Macaca mulatta: one gene and its partner. The protein of the gene in region 1 interacts with the protein of each later gene in a biochemical or structural test. Links are inferred from orthologs where the notes say so. Each region holds a gene or a part of one and is shown in the gene's direction. Other genes may lie near its edges. The genes, in order: CTTN and ACTR3.

Region 1 (3,817 bases):
CCTCCCCCTCTCGTCCCTCCCCTTGGCAGTCAGCGCCGTCTGCCGCAAGGAAGCTCCGACCCTGCCCGTCCCGTGCAGCTCGGCCCTTGCGTGGCTCCCGGCGCCTGCGCTGAGGGTGGAGTCGCTCTCCCTGCCCCTCACTCTCCCTGGCGAGCAGCGCTCCACCACCAGTTCTTCCCGGATCTCCTGGGTGCGCGTTTCTGAGCTGTTGGCATTGCTTTCTCTCACTGCCGGTGACATCAGTTGGACCCTGCTCAGAAACACTGATTAAAGCCAGCATCGGTGATAAGCGGGTCGGGATTTTCGTTAGGGCTCCGAAGCTGCGGTGGTTATAAATAAAGAGGTGTTCCGCTGGCACCTTTGTAGTTGAATGTGATTCTTCGGCGATGCCCTTACTGCCCTCTGCAGAGAGGATTTGTTTAGGGCAGAGCCCGGTCTGCAGGCTCAGCCGCTCTGCAGCCATGTGGTGAAGCTGCTGTCAGGCAGGGCCAGGGTCGAGCAGCACAGGGCAGGAGGGTGGCCACTCGGCCCCAGGGTGCCTTGTGCCTCGAAATCAGCCAAATTAACCCAACAAAGATGGGCTCTACCCCCAGGCAACAGCGCAGGCAGGGGCGTGGCTCCTAACCTGCTGTGTGGGCGTGGCTACTGCAGGACTGGGGTGTTCCGGGGGTGAGGACCCAGTCATCGGTAAGGAAATGGCATGTGGGCCTCCCCGCACTCACCACCATGGTGAACATGCCAGCAGGCCTGGCCTTCCTGTGCCACATCTGTTTTCTCAGTCCTGGCTGGGACTGAGAATTAGGTGGCCTGTGGGTTTCTGCTGGCTGTGGCAGTGCAGCTGCTGCTCTCTGGAAGCCAACACGGGCCCCGTGCCATGTGCGTGTGACCCTTCCCCAGGACGCGGCTTCCTTCAAGGCAGAGCTGAGCTACAGAGGCCCTGTGAGTGAGACGGAGCCGGAGCCCTTGTACAGCGTGGAGGCCGCTGACTATCGAGAGGCCGGCAGCCAGCAGGGCCTGGCCTACGCCACAGAGGCTGTCTACGAAAGCACAGAGGCCCCAGGCCACTATCCCACAGGTACTGGGCCCCACGCTGCAGCGCCCTTCCCGGTGGGGAGCTCCCGAGACATCCTGCTCGACCTGTGGCGTCCTTGCGAGGAGCGTGGGTGGGTTTCCCGCTGACCCGCCTTCGCCTGCTTGCTGCAGGGTCTTTCTGTCCCTTGAGGGACGTGCTCTAGACACATTTGGGGCAGCGGCTCCGGAGCTGCATCCCGGGAAGATCCCCGTCGTGCTGGGGGCGGGCGGGCAGGGCAGAGGAAGGGAGGGCTTCAGCGGCCGTCCTGTGTCTTTGGGACAGAATCTTGGGAAGTGTCGTCTAAAACTTGAGAAGGCTGGGAACCTGTGTGGGACTTTGTGTTGCTCAGCTCTGTCCTGGCTTTCTTTTAGAGGACAGCACCTACGACGAGTACGAGAACGACCTGGGGATCACAGCCGTCGCCCTGTACGACTACCAGGCTGGTGAGCGGCCCGCAAAAGTGTTCAGAGGGGAGACCCGGGCGGCTGCACCCGCCTGTGCTTGTTTCCTGAGAATTGACTTCTCCAGCATTGTTAGTTTTAGAAATAATTTATGTTGAGATAATTTCAGAGGTATAGAAAAGTAGCAGGTATGGTGCCAAGAACTCCCATGTTCCCTACCCAGATTCCATCTCCGCACACACACGCACCCACCCCGTTATCTTTAGTATTCTCTGAACCCTTGGAGAGCTGCAAGGGTGCTGCCAGCCCCAAAGACTCCAGCGTGTTTCCCAAGGTCAAGGACGCTGTCCCTCAGGGATGCCCCACCCTCCAGGTGAGGGGGCCACACAGATGCCCCATTCCTGCCTGTCCTGTCCTGGCCGCCAGCTCCCATGTGGCCAGCGTGTCCCCCTGAGTTCCCTTTGCGGCCTTGGCAGTTTAAGAGCAGCCTCAGCTCCTGGGCTGGCCTCAGCCGCCTGCCCTGTGTTCCCTCAGGGCCAGGCTGAGCCGTGCTCTGGTGGCAGTGAGGTCGTGGAGACCATGTGGTGGGGCTCCCTGCTGTGCCGCGTGGCGTCCACCTGTCCCTCTGTCTCAGCCACCATCTGGTCCACAAAGCCACTGCCACCCCTCTGCAGTTGACAAGCATCTTATGGGTGGCGTAGGATTCCTTTCCGAACCCCCGGCCGCTGCCTCTGAGTGCTTCCCGTTTGCAATTTTCCATCAGTGCGGAAGTTGGCATGCTACCATAAGTGAGCGCTGGCTGTCCCCGTTCAGTCCCTTTTGCACACGTGCGTTTACATGCACACGTGTGGATATGTCTGTGGCATCTCGGCACCTGTGTGTGGATTCTCATCACCGTGGCTTTTGCCCTCCAGGCCCATTTAAGCCATCACCTCGGGCTTCTCTCCGGGTGTCCCCCAGCCGTCCCTCTGCTGTGGCCTCCACACCCCCATGGCCTTGGGCAGCCCATCTCCCCACCCCCTCCACAGACACGTCTGCCAGGGAGAGAGGGGAAGGGAGGGCGGGCAGGGCTGGAGTTACGTGGTGGAAACCTGCTCCTGAGGAAGGGGTCCGGGTGGGGTGGGTGTTTTGTGTGAGGGGCTCTGGGCATCTCCGTAGTCACTTGGCTCATGTTCTTGACAAATCCTGGCCTTGGTGGCAAGAGAGGCAGCAGGAGCCTCCGCAGTGCATCTCTGCAGGGGCGTCTCCTCTGAGCAGGCTGCCTGGGAGTTTGCTCTGGGTTGCCCTGTTCTTTTCTAGCAGACCAGGAAACGCTCGCACTTAGCACCTTTCTCTGCGTTCTCTTCCCCAGCGGGTGATGATGAGATCTCATTTGACCCCGATGACATCATCACCAACATCGAAATGATTGACGACGGCTGGTGGCGTGGGGTGTGCAAGGGCCGGTACGGGCTCTTCCCAGCCAACTACGTGGACCTGCGGCAGTAGGGCCCCCAGCCCCCAGCCCCCGGAGCTGCGCCCCGGACCCTCACACTACAGATCAGGCCTTCTTTGGTTCTTGGGTTTTGGGTTTTTTTGGTTTTTTTGGTTTTTTTTGAAGGTGGGGAGGAGAATATACACATTGCTTTTATATTTAATACTTTTGCTGATGCTTTTGAAAATGTTTATGCCACAGAATTTGCTAATATATTGTAATCACATTCCTTAGGAGGACTTTGGTAATTGGTTTTATGCATTGATGGATTGATGGGGTTTTTTTTGTTTTATTTTTTGCCAAATTGACTGTCACACGCGGCAGCTTCAGGGAGCTCGCATTCTCTTGAGTGCGTGTTGCCCTCGTGCTCATCAAGTGCAGTCGGGGCCTCCCACGACAAGCACGAGGCCTCAGGTGGGCCCTGTGGCGGGTAGGCAGGAAGGACTGTCCCAGGCCCTGTGGCGGGTAGGCAGGAAGGACTGTCCCAGACGAGGGCTCCCTCTAGAGTCTCAGTGTTTGGGGGGAGAGGGGCGGGCCTGCTGGAGGTTAACACGGAGCTAAGTCACCCAGAACACAGGAGCTGCCACGTCAGATGGGAAATCTGCCTGTGTCATACCGTGACAGCCCACGGGATCAGGTGCCTTCTAGCAGAGACCCTGGATTTTTTCCTGTGCCCACCCCGGCTCGTCCTCATCTCTACTCATCCCTTACCCAGGTCGCTGGGAGGGCTGCTGGGAGCCTCTTCTGCCCCTGCCGGGCAGCGTCACCAAGTCCTTGAAATCTTTCCCTGCCCCGCAGGTCTCTGGATTGGCACAGTGCAGTTGAGGTCTGCGTTGGGCTTTTCTTTTCACACAGGCTGATGTCTTGACC
Region 2 (3,817 bases), on another chromosome or scaffold:
TTTAGAGGTTCTTTCTCTCACCTTGATGGTTTCCTCACAGGAATGTGCTGATCAGTATTCAGTTAAGGAGATATTCTCTTCACATCTTCCCAGCTCTCCGTTGGTGCAACTCCTTCCCCTCCAATAATTTGGCCTACAAACTTTAGCCACTTTTGCCTTTCTGACCTTTAAATTCTATATCCCTAACTTAATGAGACCAGTTCTGTTTTAGTTCTCTTTCTCGTTGTTGTGGCCTAGTAACTTTCCCTAGGCAGTAGGATAGAGTGTTTGTAACATTCACTTTATTTGTTTCCCTTTTCTTAGAAAGTATCTCTGCCCTACTCTGCCAATTGTCAAATGTCTGAAAACCTTTATTTCTTATAAAGTGTCCTTTATTTAAGTTGAGAGGGTGAGTTCAGTCCCTAATATTCTGTCATGGCCGCTGAAGGCATCCTTAATATTCTTTCCTAATGAAATTTAATTTTGCCACACTATTTGTTATACTTCTGACACATCAGTGAATTTGTGAATCAGTTCTACAGAATTTAGTTATTTGACATTATGGTGGTGTGTGGAAAGCTTCAGGTTTGTGAAATGGATACATACTTCATTAGAAAAATGATAGGCACTTTGTCAAATTTCTTATGACACATTCTAAATTATAATTACTGAAATTATAAATGATTTTAAAATAGTACTATCTGATATAAAGTCTGCTATCTAAACCATTTGATATTTCTATTTTGAAATTTACTGTTTCTGTGTTGTTATTTTAGTCATAGTTATAAATTGTCAATGGGAAAATAAATCTCAAGTTGCTGGCCATTCTTAGTTATTGTTTCTGATGAATAAAGGTGAATTCTGGGATAAAACAGTACTTGAGAATATGAATACACTAACTTGATAAATTGGTCTTTAATGGTTCATATTTTTAGGTTATATTAATTTTCAAAGCATTGAAAGTAAATTTGAAATCTTTTTCCCCCCTCTAGGCTGAAGGGTATGTGATTGGCAGCTGTATTAAACACATTCCAATCGCAGGACGAGATATAACATATTTTATTCAGCAACTGCTGAGAGACCGAGAAGTAGGAATCCCTCCAGAACAATCCTTGGAAACTGCTAAGGCAGTAAAGGTAAAAAGTGAGATAGAAGTGTAATTTAGTTAAAAATTAAAATCACATTTATAACATTAACATGAGAAATTTTTAATTGAAGAACAGTACTTAAAATAATCTTGTTAACCAGTTATAAATTATTACTCTTAAGTATATTTACATTTTCTCTGTATTTCTTGCAAGAAAATTATTATTACAAGTTTGTCTATTTTCTTCATATTTTATATTTGAGAGGAGTAATATATAAGAACATTTTACCAAATGACCTCTCCATAAATTTTTGTGATTCTCTTTATTAAAAATAATTATTTCACTGTAAAGTGCTTGCATCTCAATTTCTTCACTGAATTCTTTATTTTAATTTTAAAAGCTTTTGTCATAAAAATTATTTTGATATAATTGATTCATTGTGCTATAGTATAGAGGCAGTGTTAACTCAAGTGATAGGGCACATAGAAAAACATTAAGGCTATCTAAAGTATTTTTTAAATTTTTTCTGCCATGTAAGTATTATATCAATGCTTCATGCAAACTATCAAAATACTTTAACATCATCTTTCAAACTTACTATTTGCCACATAACCAAAAAATTTCAGTGGGTCTCACATGTTTTGAAAAGTAAAACTGCCCTGGCAAAAGTAACTTTTACTTATTTGTCTCTCTTTGCATGGTTTTTTTTTTCACTTATACATTTTTAAATTTTTTATTTCTTATTTTTATTGATTTATTTTTTATAGAGATGGGATCTTGTTCTGCTATCCAAGCTAGAGTGCAGTGGCACAATCATGGCTCACTGCAGCCTCAAACTTCTGGGCTCACGTGATCCTCCTGCCTCAGCCTCCTGAGTAGCTAGAACTGCAGGTGCATATCACCATGTCTGGCTAAGTTTTTGTAGAGATGGAGGTCTTGTTATGTTGCCCAGGCTGTTCGTGAACTCCTGACCTTAAGCAATCCTCCTGCCTCAGAATCTCAAAGTGCTGGCTGTGAGCCACCATGCCTGGGCCTCTTTGCATGTTTATGGGATTTTCCTTGCTCGTCAGAGCTTAAGAATGAAAATTTATCAACTACTTCCTAGGTAGTAAATTAGTAAAGGACTGCCAAAAGTTACCCCAAGTTGGTGGCATAAGAATTAAATATATAAAAAGTTAATGTGAATACTACTGATTCAACATCTTTGGGAAATCTGTAAAATTAAAGCAAAATGAGAAAACACCAGAGATTTAAATCTATTCCAGAGAAGATTGATGGTCAGTCTGAATGTCTTTAAAGGAGTATCATTTCTTGTCATTCCCACTTCTAAGGTTTGGAGAAGACCTCAAATAGTGAATCAAATGTCTTTCGTTTCCAGTATTTTTTCTCTTTGTGTATTTTGATTATTACTAGTAATATTTGCAACTATCTCGGATGGAGCCTGTGATGTATAAAAATACTGGAAAAGGAAGGCTTTTTAAAAATATATATATATAGGCTGGCAGTTGGGAGTTTATAAATTACAAATATGATGTTATAATCTATAATATATTTTTCAATGTTTTTGATAAAACTTTTACTTAGGTGTCATATAACCAAATATGCAACAAAATGGAGTAATTTATATTTTTAGCGTTCTTTCTTTGCTCATTTATTTACTCAGACTGTAATCAGTTTTGTTTCAGATATTAAGGATCTAATTAATTTGTGTGGTTATCATAATTATTACTTATTCCTCAGTTCTATATTTTATTTATTCTCCTTACGTAGAGCACGAGATTCATTATTACTGAGACAGAAAATGTTGAATGACATTAATGAACATTTTCAGGAAATAACACTGAAGTAGTAGAAATCAGCTCTCCAATCTCTCAAATATTATTTATATTTAAAGTCAGAAAATATGTGTAGGAGATGAGTATGTTTATTTGTACTACACATATGATAACATCCTAACATAAATTTTACTCCCAGCTTAATTTCCTAATTTTATTTTCTGAAGAAGTTTTTTTTTTTTTATTTGATTCTAGTTTACTGAAAACATGCCATTCTTTTTTACTGTTCCTGTAATAGGCAAAAAAAGTTACTTTTGTTTATTTGTTTTTCAGGAGCGTTATAGTTATGTCTGCCCAGATTTAGTAAAAGAATTTAACAAGTATGATACAGATGGGTCAAAATGGATTAAACAGTATACTGGAATCAATGCTATCTCAAAGAAAGAATTTTCTATCGATGTTGGTTATGAGAGATTTTTGGGACCTGAAATATTTTTTCATCCAGAGGTAAGTTTTTTTTAACGGAATTGTTTAAAAATATTCAGCAGCAAATATCAATTAATGGATATTCAGAGAGAATTGATCTCAAAAACTTTTATTAGTATACTAAAAACCGTTTGAATTTTTATGAAAAGTTTTATTTAAAAGTTTTATGAAATTTTTAAAGAAAAAATTTGCTTTTCTTTAAACAAGTGAAATTGTTGCTATTTTTTGTAGATTTAGAAAAAGCTTTTTTTTTTTTTTTTAAATATGGGGGCTTATGTGGGGGGGTCATGGGAAGAGGGGAGCCCTTAAACTTTTTTTTTCTTCCCTCAGTCGTGGACTCAGGTAAAGTTTTGTAATCATTTAAATAAAATATTTTGGGAAAGGTTATAGAAAGCTCCCCCCTCCCCATTTGTGTAAAATGACCATTTTACAAGGAACCTTCAATTGACCATTAAAACATAGAACTAGTAGCAAAATAGTCTTCTCTCT

The links.
Region 2: the proteins of CTTN (region 1) and ACTR3 form a complex in vitro, tested with the Homo sapiens proteins (3 studies listed by BioGRID). The link is inferred for Macaca mulatta from reciprocal best matches to the Homo sapiens genes CTTN and ACTR3.

Annotation. Positions count from the first base shown.
Region 1 is NC_133419.1:4,232,842-4,236,658, reverse strand, and holds part of CTTN (src substrate cortactin), read left to right. Parts: intron 1-897; coding exon 898-1,075; coding exon of another isoform or gene 1,076-1,139; intron 1,140-1,421; coding exon of another isoform or gene 1,422-1,443; coding exon 1,444-1,515; intron 1,516-2,797; coding exon of another isoform or gene 2,798-2,824; coding exon 2,825-2,961; 3' UTR 2,962-3,365; exon of another isoform or gene 3,366-3,400; 3' UTR 3,401-3,817.
Region 2 is NC_133417.1:23,658,802-23,662,618, reverse strand, and holds part of ACTR3 (actin-related protein 3), read left to right. Parts: intron 1-971; coding exon 972-1,115; intron 1,116-3,175; coding exon 3,176-3,349; intron 3,350-3,817. UniProt on the Homo sapiens protein: ATP-binding component of the Arp2/3 complex, a multiprotein complex that mediates actin polymerization upon stimulation by nucleation-promoting factor (NPF).